4 linked regions of the Caenorhabditis elegans genome follow. The protein of the gene in region 3 purifies or fractionates together with the protein of the main gene of each other region. This does not show direct contact. Each region holds a gene or a part of one and is shown on either strand. Other genes may lie near its edges.

Region 1 (3,129 bases), on a different chromosome or scaffold from region 3:
CTTAAATTTCCTCTGATTTTCGAAATTTCGGGGATTTTTTTAGAATTTTAGAAAAAATTACAATTTTCGCTGAAAATCCGCAGACTTTCCGTATCTTTTCAGCTGTGAAAACTAAGAAACCACAAGGAACAATTATTTTTATTTTTCTTAATTTTTCAGCAAAGAGCTTCAATCTCAGCGGCTCCGTCTCTGCTCGCCACTTGCACAAACGTTGGCGGCTCCCAGTACACGTGGACGATCCTTGGCAGAATTTTGCAGTTCGTCGATTGCAGATTTTAATTTCTAATTTCCCCCAATTTTTTTTTTGAATATTCTCCTCCCTAGAGATACTCGCCCATTGCAATATTTTCGTCTTTCCATAACCTGCCACGTGTATATTTTCGCAATTTATGAACTCTTTCTGTTAAATTAACTCTAATAAATCGCTTGACGTTCCACGTGACCAGTTTCCCGGAGGAGAATACCGGTCAATTGCGTAGCTTGGCTAACCAATTACTGCACTTTTGACATAGCAGCGGTAGCAGCAGCAGCATTGAAACGAAAATGATGACAAGTGTGAATTTTCATAAATATTGAGGGAAATCAAATAACTTAGCAGTATAGTCGCACAGGGGAAAATACAATAGAAGATCGAAAAACGAAACGATTTTAGAGGACTTGTTCGATGTGCGGTGGGAAAGAGAGATGTGGAGTTGGTGTCTGCACGAATGGGAATCCTGGTTTGTCGGGACGGAACAGCTCGAACTGTGAGCCGGCTTTGTTGATCACGGCGAGACGGACAACTCCGCCGGAGGATCCGTCACGGAAGGTGGCGAGTCCGACGGCTTGCTTCACGATCGCCTTGCACTCCTCGAGCGTCAAGTTTGGTCTCCATTGACTGTCGAGGAAGCCCTGCACGAATGTGGAACCGGAGCCGGAAGCTGTCGATCGCTGGCGGGACACGAATCCTCCGATTGGGATTGCGTAGACCTGGCCGCCGAGCTCCTCATCCCAGCCGGCGACGAGCACTGAGGCGGAGAGCTGCTCGCGGTAGTTGTAGAGGAATTGGCGGAAAATCTGGCTCGAGCGGTAGATTGTCACTGGCTTGTTCTCTGTCATGCTGAAAAAAGTGATTATTTAAAAAAATTATTTTATTTAATTTTAAAACAACTGAAAATTCCTTACGTATAAACATCAATATGGTACTTGGCAATATCGGCGATCGCTTGAGTGTCCGCTGCAGATCCAGAACGGCACACAACCATATTATCGGTGATCGGGGTGATTTTGTTGGTGGCACGGGAGGTGATGAACGAGCCGGCGCTGGTTCTCGAGTCGGTTCCGACGACAACTCCACCGTTGTACTCCATAGCGATGAGAGTGGTCTGAAAATTGAGCTTTTAGTGGAAATTTCAATTTAAAAATCTCACTCCAGTGCTGATTTCTTCCTGTGGATAGAACCCGATTGCCGGAATGGCTTTGCGCTTCTCATCTCGCATAGTATCCATTATCTGCAAAATATCGACTTAAATTCATTTTTTAAAAGTTATTTTAACGTTAAGAAATCAATAATAATGTATAAAAACAAATTTAGTAGTTATTTTTCAGAATAAAATCATTAAAAACGAGAAACCCGAGCAGAAAAAACATTGTCATCAAATCTCAATGCAGCAAAAATGACGTTTGAATTGGCGCTCCACCGGACTGCCTGCACATCTAACTTTCCTGGCACGCGGCCAACATTCGATTTTGGGACGATCGACACGTTCTGGCCACATTTTCTTTGATTTTTTCTGATTTCGCCGACTTTTTTCCCGTTAAAACTGGTTTTTATAACTAGTTTTCCATGTATTTATTAGTTTTTGTCATGTTAGTCACTGAATATCCATGATTTCTCGCCCTCACTGTCTTGGATTTTTGTTTCTCTGAATTTTCGCCATTTTTGATTGAAATTGTGACATTCAACCGTTTATTTTTTTGTAATTCCTCGCAACTGATAATTTCTTTTTTCTAAAATCAATTATTTGCAGTAATGTCGGACAGAAATTGCTACAAGTGCCAACAGCCGGGACATATCTCCCGCAACTGCCCGAATGGCGAGTCCGATGGTGGACGTAGAGGAGGTGGAGGAGGTGGAGTGGTGTTGAATTTGGGGTGTTGAGTTGATTTAGGTAAATACATTATCTCTTGATTTCTTACCGAATTGCAATAATTTTTGAAGTTCTGGAGAAGTGGAGGCGAAGAGAAATGTGTTTAAGCTGGCGGAGATTAGGAGTTATTTGATGATAAATTTACAGCGGAAATCTCGAGACTAATTTCATGTTATTTCAGGATCCACCTGCTACAACTGCCAAGAGACTGGACACTTCTCTCGCGATTGCCCCAAGGGAGGATCCGGAGGAGGACAACGTGGAGGTGGCGGCGGCGGTGGATCGTGCTACAACTGCGGAGGACGTGGACACTACTCTCGTGACTGCCCATCCGCCAGATCTGAGGGAGGAAGCGGTGGCTACGGAGGCCGCGGTGGAGAAGGCAGAAGCTTCGGCGGACAAAAGTGCTACAATTGCGGACGCTCCGGGCACATTTCCCGCGAGTGCACCGAGAGTGGCTCGGCCGAGGAGAAGCGTTGCTACCAGTGCCAGGAGACCGGACACATCTCCCGCGACTGCCCAAGCCAGACCAACTAAATCAATCATCATTCCCCCCATTTTCGTTGTCTTTTCATTGTTCTGTAACTCGAAATAATGTATTCAACTGAAACTTTCGTTCACTCCTTTTTCCAATAATCCTCTTCCCCGCATCTCAAATATTATATGTGAATGCTGGTTGCAGCTATTATCCCCCATCCCAACCTCTGAACCTCTTGAACGAAAGTGGTAATAAATTGTTGATTAAAGTCGTCGTCTTGCGCTCCTCCTCTTTCGCATCGGAAGTGAAGGCGACGTGATGCTCTCACATGGGTTTCCATAGCAACGCGCGCTCTCGCCGAGCAACTCGCGCTGCTCATTCACTCACTTTCGCATATTCTGCGGGAGCCTCGAACAATGAGCTGTTGTTTTTCGAAAAAGCTTTTTGGGCGCCGGTCTAAACGTGAGGATCGCTACAAGGTCAGCGAGGATGCGGTGCCGAAACCGGAAGAGGGAGGTGAAC
Region 2 (3,461 bases), on a different chromosome or scaffold from region 3:
TTAAATTCCAAAATCAAATAAAGATAGTTATAAATAATAGAGACAAACATCACTAATATATCACAAATAGCGATTCCTATCATTATCAAGATTACGGACGATTTTAACATTGAATTTCGAGATAAAACGAATAAATGGAATGATGTTGTAAAAATCCCAATTGATGAAATTACAATATTAATGATTATTGATGGATGGACAAACTTTCTGGAATTTGACGGTAATATTACGGGATTTTCAAAGCTAAAACTTGCTCAACAGCTATAAGAAAGAAATATAAATCAATTCTAGTCGCATTATCATAGCTGGGAAATGCAGAAGTTGATAAGTTATAAAGAAGCACTCTGTCAATCATTTCATTCAAATTCAGCTTAAAATAACTGAAATAAATAATTTTTACTATATGAATACACGTGGCCGCGAGTTGTGACATTTTGATGCAAATGTTTCACCTGCTTTTCGGTTTGAAGGTCGAGAGTTGTGTGCTGCTTTAAACCCATAACAAGAAAAGTTTATCAGAAAACAATATAAATGAAAGGAAAATAGTGGAATACGGGATAATTTGCAATAAATGAGTTGTTTCATCAAGTGGTGTCCGATGGACCGAAACCTTGAGGTTGTGTTGATCATCGGACACCACAATCGAATTATTTCACTTTGTAGCATTCAAGTAACGGAATTTCGGGAGACAGAGAAGATGGGAAGATAATGTCTGAAAAGGATCGAAAGAGAAACAATGGATTTTTAGGGGGAGAAAGAACAGAAACCGGGGGAAACAATTAAAAACCAATAATTTAATCAATTTAGCGTCTCTTTCCGTACTTGTTCTTGCCACCACGATTTCCGCCGCGACGAGTGTCCTCTTTAAATCCACGACCAGCTGCCAAGTCCTCTTCCCGAATATTGTCCGAATCATCTGAATCTTCGTCTGATTCCTCTTCAGAATCATCGTCCGATTCTTCTTCCTTATCCGATCCTGCCTCTTCGTCAGACTTCTCCGAATCACTGTCTGATGAATCTGAGTCAGACTTTGCTTCTCCGGCCTCTCCCTCGTCTCCGACGTGATCCACTGAAAAAAAATTGAACTTCATTAATTTTCAGCAAAAATAAACTTACAGAACTCAACCTCTCCCTCGTCTTGTTCATCGTTCTCATTGAGCTTGGCGTTTTCTGGGATAAGTCCCTCGTTCTTCAAACGGCGAGCTTCATCTGGGGTGTACTTCAGAATAACATCTCCCTTGTCGTCTTGATAATCTCGGAGACCGACGAGAATGATATCTCCCACGTTGATCCAAACCTTCTTCCTCAACTTTCCACGAATATGGCAGACACGCTGCTTTCCATCAAAACAGAACACTTGAACACGACCGTTACCAAGCATTTTTGAGACTTGTCCATATTCTGGAATTAATGCTTTTGTTTTTCGGGAAAGAAGTTATAAAATCTACCTTGTCCCTCCTCCTTGAGGTCGAGCTCGCGCTTCATGAAGTCGTTCTCATTCTTTCCTCTTCTGCGATTCTTTCCTCCCTTTCCCTTATTCTTCGGCATTGCTGAAAATATTACGAAATAATTTGGAAAGTTGAAGTTACGAGAAATACAGAAGCAAAGAGGACTGCAAAAATTGTAGAAAAAACAAGAACATAAATATGCATAAGGTAATGTCAGATTTCAATGGAATTTAACAAAAAATTAAGAAGAATGAGTATACTATCCCAAAATAAACAGTTTGCTTGGATTTCGTGAGTATTTTGATGAAAAGTGATTTCTAAAAATTGGAAATAATAATTTTATCAGCGCTTGAGATTAAAATTATGTCGTCAATCGACAAAAATAAACAAAATAACAGAAGAAAAATTTCAATGAAAAATCGACGAAAATGTGGAGTGCACAGAAAAGTGGGCGGGGTTTGCTATCGCAAGAGCGCGGCGCGAGGTTACGTAACTGCGGACTTGGCGACACAATTTACGACACTCGCTATTTTTATTTTTTATTTTGCTTATTTTTTATTTTTCTCTCTAAAATTTTGTTGTTTTAACGAATTGTTTTCGGAAAAAAGTTATTCAGAATCAAAGATTACTTCATAGAATATAATTATTGTCCAAAATATAAAAGAATTGTAAGATAAACATCTCAAAACGAACATTTAACCGCAAAAACGTATTTTGGGAAAACAATCACAAACTTTTCACGCAAAAGTGTTTTACCTACATTTTTTTGTAGTTTATTAAGTCACAAAATTAACGACATCATGAAAAATACAGCAGATAATATTTTTCTGTCCGAAAGCTTTCCCCAGTTTAGTTTTCTCCAATAGAAAAACTCCAAGTTTTTTATAGCGTTTTCGAGATGAGCTTTTTTTCAAATTTTCTGAAATGAAGTTTGAAGTTTGTATACAACCCAAAATATATGTTTATCACCGTGCAATATCACAAATGTCGTCATCGCCTTCTGTCCTATTTCGCAATCATTAATTTCCGCAAATCTCTCTGAAAAAGAACTACAATTCCAGCTATTCTTGCATGGGAGAGCCTCTGGTCGCCGAGCCGACAACTGAGCAGACTCCGTTGAGCACAAATTCAGTTGCTTATCAGAGCTCCGACGCGCTTCCAGATTCCTCAGAAGCATTCGGAGTAGAAAACGTTTATCGTGCTTTGATTATCTTCTGTGATAATTATTCGTTGGATAAAAAACAAGTGCGTTAGAGAACATGTTTTTGAGATTTTCGAAATTTTAACGTGAATTATTGTTCTTGTTTCTGTCTAAAATGGCCAAAATTTGAAAATTTCAGGTAGCTCTCGGACTCTTTCTTTCTATTCTACTTTTCATCTTCTCTGTTGGCACTATCATTGCGTGGAATCGATATTCACCAATCATTCAGGAGTTTATCATAAGAGAGAACATTGAGAAAGCGAGAAATAAGAGCAACGAAAAAAATAGTAAGATATTTAACAAGTTCTGCACTGATAACCATTCCAATTTATTTCAGAGAAAGAAGAATGAATAGTTTCAAGAAATTCCTCAACAAAAAGCGAGTCCAGAATCACTTCAAAAAGAGCGGTGAAGGTGTTCGTTTGTCATCCGGCGAGTCATCTTCGCAGCCTTCTGCCCACGCTGGAGCCGCCCAGGGAGGCCAAATTGATCGTGTCGCGGCCGCTGATATTGCTGCTCAGGCTGCTTTCAAACGGATGCAGAAGAATGAACCTCAACAAAATGCTGGAAAACGAAGAATTCAAATGATTGCAAAACGAGAGCTGGAAGAAGAGAGACGTCAGGTTGAAGATCTCAACATTTCTGGGACTTCATCACTGCAGCAACCCGACCGTGAGCAACACCTCGAGCATTCATCCGCAATATCACGTGTTCTCTACACTTCCGAGTTGCTCGGTGAGCATCATATTCGCTCGAAAGCAGATCTTCTTGAAGATATCAAAAATTTCCTTTCTGATCAGATCAGCGAGGCG
Region 3 (4,065 bases):
AATCAAGAATAATTTATGGAAATCAGGATACTTTTTGAACTTTTTCAACGAAAATTTATTAATATTAAAAACGAAGGGTTACTGAAAATGAAAAACGTAGTTTCGAGAGTAAAACTTCAACGTCAAACGTGCATTCTCGTTAATAATCGACTTACAGCAGTATCATGACGATAAGCTTCCGCATCTTCTTCAACTTTTTTTTCTAACAACTGATATCTTCCTTGTCGGGCTTGTTCTCGTGTTTCTCGTTTCAATTTCATTCGAGCTTCCGCCTAAAACTTTTAGTTTTTAATTCGAATTTTTCAAATTGTTAAGATACCTCTCTGGAAATTTTGTCTAATGCTCTTTCTTCGGCTTCTGATCGGGTGATAGGTCGCCGGCGACCACTGGATGGGTATGAGCTCATGATTTCTGAAAATTGTATGTGTTTATGGTGTGTGCACAAGAAAGGAGAATTTGAATATTTTAAATGGCGAAAAATCAATAACGAACAGAGAGGAAGCAGCAGTGAAAATGAGTGTAATGTTTCCAACGCGCGTTGTGTCCGCGCGGATTCCGTCTTTCGAGATTTATGTCAATATGTGTGAGGGTTGAGTGAGGAGGAGGGAAATGAGGGAGAACAGCCTTCCGCAAAATTCAGGATTTTTATGGCCTGTGAACATGACAATGAATTTGATCTCTTTTTTTTATTTGATTTCAGATACCTTTTCTTCTCTGTATTTAATATTTATTCTTGTTCACAATACAAAACAGTCTACATAGGTCAATTTCTTCCTAATCCACGAACAATGCAGTTTTTGGCATTTAACCAAGCCCCTAATTCGGTGTCAACAGGTGTTTTTGAAGAGCAGATGGTGTTCTTCTCGTTTCTCTCTTATTCATCGCGTCTGGAACACCGCACGCTGTGCTCTCTACGGCTCTTACTCTCATTCGTCGCGCTCATTTGCCTAAATTGACCAGTCTGCTCGCTGTGCTCTCTCATCGTTCAACCAACATTTCTCACTTTCTTTATGAGGACCTCATACACACTCAGCCTTCTAACTTTCCTTATTATTTACTTTGGCTTCAAAAATCCAAATTAATTTTTTAAATTTCGAACCACTTTTAAGTGCATGTCACTGTCGTCAGTGTTAGTGATTACTCGTCTTTTTTTTACGCAGGTTGCATTCAAAAAACGGAAAAAGTATAGATTTTGAATCTATATCATTAAAATTATTTTAAAAATGAATTCAAAAATGTGTATAACCAAATGTACATAAAAATTATAAAGAATTGAATTGGTCAAATAAAAAAGAGCCATTTTTCTTCAAAAAAAATTGATGGTATGAATGTGCGCTCTAATGAACACTCTCTTCGCTTCGAGACCCGTCACTCTTGTTCGAATGATTTGGCCCGGTTTTGGGGCGGTTTCTTAGCCTCTTTTTAGATTTTAAAGCTTTTTTAAACGTTTTTTATGCTTTTCGTGTTAAGAATATATTTATTTCAAATGCTTTTTCTCAAAAAAACAAAGGTTTTTAGGTCGAAACTTTTCTTTCATTTCTTTTGGATGGGTTTATTCGAAAATTTTAGGATTGAGATACTGTATTTCGCAATTATTATTATTGAAGAACTATTTCAACACCCTTATCTTTGTATTTAATGCTGAAATACTTTCGAAATTTCATTTTACTTCAATTTCAGAAACTCAATCGCACTTCCAAAAGTTAATTTTTAACTTTTCAACCCACCTGTCATGACCGATGTTAAAAATGATGTGAACGTATCTTCGGTGGTCGATGCCGACGGCTTGATCGAGGTTAGTTAATGTACATAATTTATTATAATTTGAATACATTCAATTTTAGGGAAACTATGATCAAGTCGTCGAATCTTTCGACGACATGGAGCTCAAGGAGGAGCTTCTTCGCGGAATCTACGGATTCGGTTTCGAAAAGCCATCTGCTATTCAAAAGCGCGCAATTGTTCCATGCACCACTGGAAAGGACGTCATCGCTCAAGCCCAATCTGGAACTGGAAAGACTGCAACTTTCTCGGTCTCTATTCTTCAGAGAATCGACCACGAGGATCCACACGTGCAAGCTCTCGTTATGGCCCCAACCAGAGAATTGGCTCAACAGGTAAACTTTCTCACTCAGTGTATTTTAGTTATAGATTATTAGCAGATACTTTTAAAGAAAACTTTTCAAAATCTTTCTTTGTAGATCCAAAAGGTCATGAGCGCCCTCGGAGAGTACCTCAACGTTAACATTCTTCCATGTATCGGTGGAACCAGTGTTCGCGACGATCAACGAAAACTCGAAGCCGGAATTCACGTCGTTGTCGGAACTCCAGGACGTGTTGGAGACATGATCAATAGAAATGCTCTTGACACATCCAGAATTAAGATGTTCGTTCTCGACGAGGCCGACGAAATGCTTTCTAGAGGTTTCAAGGATCAGATCTACGAGGTTTTCCGTTCCATGCCACAAGACGTTCAAGTAGTCCTTCTTTCGGCTACTATGCCATCTGAAGTTCTTGATGTCACTAATCGTTTCATGCGCAATCCAATCCGCATTCTTGTCAAGAAGGACGAGCTCACCCTTGAAGGTATCAGACAGTTCTACATCAACGTTCAAAAGGATGTAAGTTTACTCGCCCAGTCTAAGAAATTGTTTTCATGAACCATTTTTTCAGGAGTGGAAGTTTGACTGCCTCTGTGATCTCTACAACGTTGTCAATGTTACTCAAGCCGTCATCTTCTGTAACACTCGCAGGAAGGTCGACACACTCACCGAGAAAATGACTGAAAATCAGTTCACAGTCTCTTGCCTCCACGGAGACATGGATCAAGCTGAGCGTGATACAATTATGCGAGAGTTCCGTTCAGGATCTTCCCGTGTTCTCATCACCACAGACATCTTGGCTCGTGGTATTGACGTACAACAGGTAAGTATAAATATTTGTGTTTATAATTCAATACTATGGAATGTATATATTTTAGGTCTCACTTGTTATCAACTATGATCTCCCATCCAATCGTGAGAACTACATCCATCGTATCGGACGTTCTGGACGTTTCGGTCGTAAGGGAGTTGCCATCAACTTCGTCACCGAGAACGATGCTCGTCAGCTCAAGGAAATTGAAAGCTACTACACCACTCAAATCGAAGAGATGCCAGAATCAATCGCTGACCTCATCTAAATTTTAATCCAATTCCGATCCCCTCCACGATTGTTCCACACGCTTTTCCCTTCCTCTTGTTTCCTCATATTTATCCATGTTATCTGTTTTCTCCTCCACCCCCACCGTCCCACATTTTTATTTTATGCGTGATTTCATCTTTTTAATCACCCCTTTTTAGTACTGGCCCTATCCCATCCAACTTGGTTCAAACATTCTAATTCTCTTTCAATTTAGAGTTTAGTATTGCCCCCTAAAAGTTATAGAGCCACCTTGGTTTTGTTTGACAAAATGTTTTTGTCTGGCGTTCTCTTTTTCTGGAAAATAATGAAATTGCGTATGTTACATTCATTTTAAATCTTATGAACAGGCTTCTGATCCTTTCAGAATATATTGAACACCGTAATTCTGCTAATTTTTAATTATGAATTTCCAGTAACATGGTGAAAAGGAATTTGAAAGGAAGGGGTGACAAATTATCAGCCAATGCTCCACTGGATAACCAGTTGGAAGCTGGTAAAGTTGCAAAGCAACGAGATGAGCTTCGCGAAAAGCAGAAGAGAAAAAGGGAAGACTCGCAGACAGACGAGGTCAGTAAATATTCAGGGAAAATTAAATATTATTTTCATTGACCAGAGAGTTCATAAAATTAGTTTCAGTTCGTTCCTGATTCGCTCTCATCAAAAATCTTGAATGAAGCTCGTAAGCAGCTTCTCGAAGAGGCACTGGAAAGACAAGAAACCGAATCAGCCACATCTAGTGTTCCAAAAAGGTAAATAAACAATTTATCATAATTCAATGCAAGTATTTCTGTTACAGACAACGCGGAGCTTGGCTTGGAGCTGATGCATCCGGCGACAAATCGGACGATGATGATGATGATAATGAAGAAGAAGACGACAATG
Region 4 (5,492 bases), on a different chromosome or scaffold from region 3:
GCTCTATCGATAATCAAGATTTGATAAAGGAACGAGATCCAAAAAACCTCTCTAAATTTATGAGAAAGAATTATCAAGTTCTCTATTTAAAAGATTTACAACAAATTATCTTTTGTTTAATGATTTGATAAACTTTTTCTTTGAGAATGCGAATAGTTTCAAGGAAAAGAAAAAGGGCTCCAATTTCAGATTTTCCGGAATGAGATTAAGTTTTCTAAAACATACATTTTTCTTTCAGTCGTGTCTTCTTCTATCAACATTTGCAAAGTGTCTGGAAAACCAGCAGACTGTGAAACTCCAAAACTTCCAGGGCACAAATTGAGAATATCGTTGGATCCGCCAGTAATTTCCGTCATTGTCGGCAGTTGAACTACTCCATTTTTTTCAACAACATCTGCTTCGGAACGCCTAAATTTTATTTATAAAAACTCTATCAATCAGAGATTTCTTTGAAAGATCTGACACATATGTTACACAAAAACCGCAGAAAATAAATTTAGATGAAACACTAACGAGTCGAAATTTGAAACAGTTGATCCAGGTCCTGATCTCTTCACATTATTGAAAACATCGTAAGTAAACGAGTCATTCAACAAGTTCACACTCATTTCATCGTCGGCTCGGCCATTATTCTTCTCATCTGAATCTTCTTCTCCGCTATTTTCAGGTTCATAGTCTTCATCATCTTCGCTTTTATATTCTTCTTCATTCACAGGTTTCTTTCCCTTCTTTTTTTTAAAAACGACATCTTCTTCCTCTTCTTCATCACTGCCAGCCTTCAGATGTTCATTATCCTCTTCATACATTTTCCGACGTTGCTCTTGTTCTGAAAACTCAAAAATTGTAAAAATTTAACACGAAGCCGATACCTTTCCGTCGCTTCGCTGACATCGAAGCTTGAAGCTTCTTTTTTAAAGTCTCGCTGGTCAGAACTGGAAAAAGTAAGTTAAATCAGAATTATTACGAACGAAACTAACGGCTCTTGGGTGCGTTCTTCGATATTTTTCGAGGAACGGCGAATAATTTAGCTTCTTCCGGACTTTTTGCCAATTTCGGAATTTTTTCAGCATTAAACGTCTTTTTGAACCATTTGTTACTTGGGTCATCATCTTCATTTGTCAGGTCAATCGTACTATTGGCAGATAATAGGACTCTCCCAAGCTTCGGAACAGGAAGAGGACTTCGTTCTAAAGCCAGTGCTTTACGACGATTAAGACGACGAAGTTTTCGGTCTTCTTCAGCTTGCTTATCGACTTCCGTGTTTTCACTAGATATCAGCTGCTCCTGAAATATGTATTTCGATCCAGTTTCGGTCTTAAAACCATTACCTGGGAATCGGACATGGTGTGTTCGGCAACTAGAGAAGATGGAGAATCTGTATCGTCTGCTGACACGGTTTTTGTTGAACAGGAATCAGAATTCATCTGGAAATTAAACTAAAACAATATTAAAAAGAAGTTTGGAAAATTTCAGTCTATAGAGCGTGATTTTCTTCGGTCAGTTATAAAGTACAACATTATGATAAATGTAATGGCCCTTTTTTGACTTTATTAAGAAAAAGTTAAACAGATTTGACAATTTTTTGTAGAAAAATAAGGAAAAAATGGCATTAAGATTCAAAAGTAGGCGCGAAAATGAATTGGTTGGCAGAGCGCCAAGTGTTTGAATTGGCGCTCTACCGTACTTTGCCTGCACATCTAACAGATCTTGCTGGAGGAGTTGACAACGCAAATTTCTTTACTCTTGTCACGCCGCTATCCTCTGTGCGGTCCTTTTTTGTTGTTGTATCTGAAGAGAACCCTACAAAAAACTAAAAATGGTGAGTATTTATCCCTCTAATTATTGTAACTGTACGTTCTGATGAATTGTCGTCTATTATTTTCGAAAAAAATTTAGGACAAAAACGTAAAGTTTCAAAATAATTAAATGAAATTAGCAAATTTTGGGCCTACTGAGATTTCGTTCCCGGATATGTTAATTAAATTAAATTTCAACTGAGAACCATTCAGTATTATCAAAATCTGAATTAAATTATGGATTTTCAGAAAAAATTTCGTTAGGTAAAATTTCATAATTTTTATCGATTGAAATAATTATTTTTTCCTCTTCAGGTCAACTTCACGGTCGATGAGATCCGTGCGCTTATGGATCGCAAGCGTAACATTCGTAACATGTCTGTTATTGCTCACGTCGATCACGGAAAATCTACCCTTACCGATTCACTCGTTTCCAAAGCCGGTATTATTGCCGGATCCAAGGCTGGAGAGACTCGTTTCACTGACACTCGTAAGGATGAGCAGGAGCGTTGTATTACCATCAAATCTACGTAAGTTCATTTTTAGGATTTCAGCTTAAATATAATATTGTTTTAGTGCTATCTCTCTTTTCTTCGAGCTCGAGAAGAAGGATTTGGAGTTCGTCAAGGGAGAAAACCAATTCGAGACGGTTGAGGTTGATGGAAAGAAAGAGAAATACAACGGTTTCTTGATCAATTTGATCGATTCACCCGGTCACGTTGACTTCTCGTCTGAAGTTACTGCTGCTCTTCGTGTTACTGATGGAGCTCTCGTCGTCGTCGATTGTGTTTCCGGAGTGTGTGTCCAAACCGAGACTGTGCTGCGTCAGGCTATTGCTGAGCGTATCAAGCCAGTTCTTTTCATGAACAAGATGGACCGTGCCCTTCTCGAACTTCAACTCGGAGCCGAGGAACTTTTCCAAACCTTCCAAGTAAGCTTTGTGTTTCAACTGTAACATTGTTATATATTTGTCGTTTAGCGTATCGTTGAAAACATCAACGTCATCATTGCCACTTACGGAGACGACGATGGACCGATGGGACCAATCATGGTTGATCCATCTATCGGAAACGTCGGATTCGGATCTGGACTCCACGGATGGGCCTTCACCCTCAAGCAGTTCGCTGAGATGTACGCCGGAAAGTTCGGAGTTCAAGTAAATTGATTGTTGTATGTTAAAATTATATAAAATATTTTTACAGGTTGACAAGCTCATGAAGAACCTCTGGGGAGATCGTTTCTTCGATCTCAAGACCAAGAAGTGGAGCAGTACTCAGACCGATGAGAGCAAGCGTGGATTCTGCCAATTCGTTCTTGACCCAATCTTCATGGTCTTCGACGCCGTCATGAACATCAAGAAGGACAAGACCGCTGCTCTTGTTGAGAAGCTCGGAATCAAGCTCGCCAACGACGAGAAGGATTTGGAAGGAAAACCACTCATGAAGGTCTTCATGCGCAAGTGGCTTCCAGCCGGAGACACTATGCTCCAGATGATCGCTTTCCATCTTCCATCCCCAGTGACTGCTCAAAAATACAGAATGGAGATGCTCTACGAAGGACCACACGACGACGAGGCCGCCGTTGCTATCAAGACCTGTGATCCAAATGGACCACTCATGATGTACATCTCCAAGATGGTGCCAACTTCCGATAAGGGACGTTTCTACGCTTTCGGACGTGTGTTCTCCGGAAAGGTCGCCACTGGAATGAAGGCTCGCATTCAAGGACCAAACTACGTTCCAGGAAAGAAGGAAGATCTCTATGAGAAGACCATTCAGCGTACCATTCTTATGATGGGACGTTTCATCGAGCCAATTGAGGATATTCCATCCGGAAACATCGCTGGACTTGTTGGAGTCGATCAATACCTCGTCAAGGGAGGAACCATCACCACTTACAAGGATGCCCACAACATGCGTGTCATGAAGTTCTCCGTATCTCCAGTCGTCCGTGTTGCCGTCGAAGCTAAGAACCCAGCTGATCTTCCAAAGCTCGTCGAAGGACTCAAACGTCTTGCCAAGTCCGATCCTATGGTCCAATGTATCTTCGAAGAATCCGGAGAACACATCATCGCCGGAGCTGGAGAGCTTCACTTGGAAATCTGTCTGAAGGATTTGGAGGAGGACCACGCTTGCATTCCACTCAAGAAGTCTGACCCGGTCGTCTCTTACCGTGAAACTGTTCAATCCGAGTCTAACCAGATCTGCTTGTCCAAATCTCCAAATAAGCACAATCGTCTTCACTGTACCGCTCAGCCAATGCCAGATGGTCTCGCCGATGATATCGAAGGAGGAACCGTCAACGCTCGTGATGAGTTCAAGGCTCGTGCCAAGATCCTCGCCGAGAAGTACGAATACGACGTCACTGAAGCCCGTAAGATCTGGTGCTTCGGACCAGACGGAACTGGACCAAATCTCTTGATGGACGTCACCAAAGGAGTGCAATACCTCAATGAAATCAAGGACTCCGTTGTCGCTGGATTCCAATGGGCCACTCGCGAAGGAGTTCTTTCCGACGAAAACATGCGCGGAGTTCGCTTCAACGTTCACGATGTCACCCTCCACGCTGACGCTATCCACAGAGGAGGTGGTCAAATCATCCCAACTGCCCGTCGTGTGTTCTACGCTTCGGTTCTTACCGCCGAGCCACGTCTTCTCGAGCCAGTCTACTTGGTCGAAATTCAATGCCCAGAAGCCGCCGTTGGAGGTATGTTGCATATTTTCAAAACTTATACGTTTTTATATTACTTATTTATTTTAGGTATCTACGGAGTGTTGAACAGAAGAAGAGGACACGTTTTCGAGGAGTCTCAGGTCACAGGAACTCCAATGTTCGTCGTCAAGGCTTACTTGCCTGTCAACGAGTCCTTCGGATTCACCGCCGATCTCCGCTCCAACACCGGAGGACAAGCCTTCCCACAATGCGTGTTCGACCATTGGCAGGTGCTTCCAGGAGACCCGCTTGAGGCCGGAACCAAGCCAAACCAGATCGTTTTGGACACCAGAAAGAGAAAGGGGCTCAAGGAAGGTGTCCCAGCCCTTGACAACTATCTCGACAAGATGTAATTCTGTCAAGATTGTTTATTGTTAATTTTTCTATTATAATAAACACGGTTGTTTGTTACTTTTTCTCATCATTTTTGTGCTAATCCACCTCTGGAATAAATCGTAAAAATTTATTTGGTACGTTGAAATATATTTGAATGTTTAGCAATCTTGTACCCTCTTCGTATTTGTCGCAGCTAAATAGTATATTTAACTGGATCTTGTAAATATTTATATATTACCGCCCTAAAACGATGGCTTCATAAACACAAAAAGTTTAAAAATGGATCCCTAGGATTGGAAACTCGGTCTTGTAGGTTTGAAGTGTGCATGGAAGCCATTGTTCTGACGCGAGTGCAATCTTGGCCATTGAATTTGTTTCGGCCTGAACATTTTTCTTTGCGCTGCAACATTTTCACATGAAATTCACGTGCTCTTGTAAGACTATTGACCTAAAATCATGGCGCGCGGGCGGTTAAAATACCATTTTCTATCACTTGTCACCGTTGCCGCCAACAATTTTCGGCTCATTTTCACTCAGTTTTATTTCACTGCGAACTATCAAAACGGACCCATTTCTCTGATTTCTCTCCTGCTTCGTTCTGCACTCCTCCCATGAAAGTTTTTCTTCTTTTTTTTTTCGTCACATTGA

What was found.
Region 1: the proteins of inf-1 (region 3) and pbs-1 fractionate together in Caenorhabditis elegans (co-fractionation; one large-scale study listed by BioGRID). This does not show direct contact.
Region 2: the proteins of inf-1 (region 3) and eif-1.A fractionate together in Caenorhabditis elegans (co-fractionation; one large-scale study listed by BioGRID). This does not show direct contact.
Region 4: the proteins of inf-1 (region 3) and eef-2 fractionate together in Caenorhabditis elegans (co-fractionation; one large-scale study listed by BioGRID). This does not show direct contact.

Annotation. Positions count from the first base shown.
Region 1 is NC_003282.8:1,708,256-1,711,384, forward strand, and holds pbs-1 (Proteasome subunit beta), read right to left. Parts: upstream 1,491-3,129; 5' UTR 1,488-1,490; coding exon 1,410-1,487; intron 1,365-1,409; coding exon 1,165-1,364; intron 1,100-1,164; coding exon 649-1,099; 3' UTR 548-648; downstream 1-547. Other genes in the region: pugs-4 (C6 domain-containing protein), read left to right, coding at 160-279; K08D12.3 (CCHC-type domain-containing protein), read left to right, coding at 2,012-2,111, 2,311-2,666; rpi-2 (Protein XRP2), read left to right, coding at 3,024-3,129.
Region 2 is NC_003282.8:4,809,023-4,812,483, reverse strand, and holds eif-1.A (Eukaryotic translation initiation factor 4C), read right to left. Parts: upstream 1,551-3,461; 5' UTR 1,549-1,550; coding exon 1,449-1,548; intron 1,402-1,448; coding exon 1,117-1,401; intron 1,070-1,116; coding exon 804-1,069; 3' UTR 501-803; downstream 1-500. Other genes in the region: srw-95 (G-protein coupled receptors family 1 profile domain-containing protein), read right to left, coding at 1-207, 255-355; H06H21.37 (uncharacterized protein), read left to right, coding at 2,520-2,693, 2,789-2,936, 2,987-3,000; ubxn-6 (UBX domain-containing protein 6), read left to right, coding at 2,997-3,461.
Region 3 is NC_003281.10:6,928,405-6,932,469, forward strand, and holds inf-1 (Eukaryotic initiation factor 4A), read left to right. Parts: upstream 1-1,729; 5' UTR 1,730-1,732; coding exon 1,733-1,795; intron 1,796-1,844; coding exon 1,845-2,117; intron 2,118-2,201; coding exon 2,202-2,621; intron 2,622-2,673; coding exon 2,674-2,925; intron 2,926-2,980; coding exon 2,981-3,181; 3' UTR 3,182-3,549; downstream 3,550-4,065. Other genes in the region: flap-1 (Leucine-rich repeat flightless-interacting protein 2), read right to left, coding at 156-272, 320-406; Cell adhesion protein byn-1, read left to right, coding at 3,601-3,750, 3,820-3,932, 3,980-4,065. UniProt on the Caenorhabditis elegans protein: ATP-dependent RNA helicase which is a subunit of the eIF4F complex involved in cap recognition and is required for mRNA binding to ribosome.
Region 4 is NC_003279.8:9,161,838-9,167,329, forward strand, and holds eef-2 (Elongation factor 2), read left to right. Parts: upstream 1-1,739; 5' UTR 1,740-1,816; coding exon 1,817-1,819; intron 1,820-2,111; coding exon 2,112-2,326; intron 2,327-2,372; coding exon 2,373-2,727; intron 2,728-2,775; coding exon 2,776-2,952; intron 2,953-2,998; coding exon 2,999-4,502; intron 4,503-4,556; coding exon 4,557-4,861; 3' UTR 4,862-4,973; downstream 4,974-5,492. Other genes in the region: clsp-1 (Claspin), read right to left, coding at 226-408, 514-826, 870-932, 978-1,284, 1,329-1,424. UniProt on the Caenorhabditis elegans protein: Catalyzes the GTP-dependent ribosomal translocation step during translation elongation.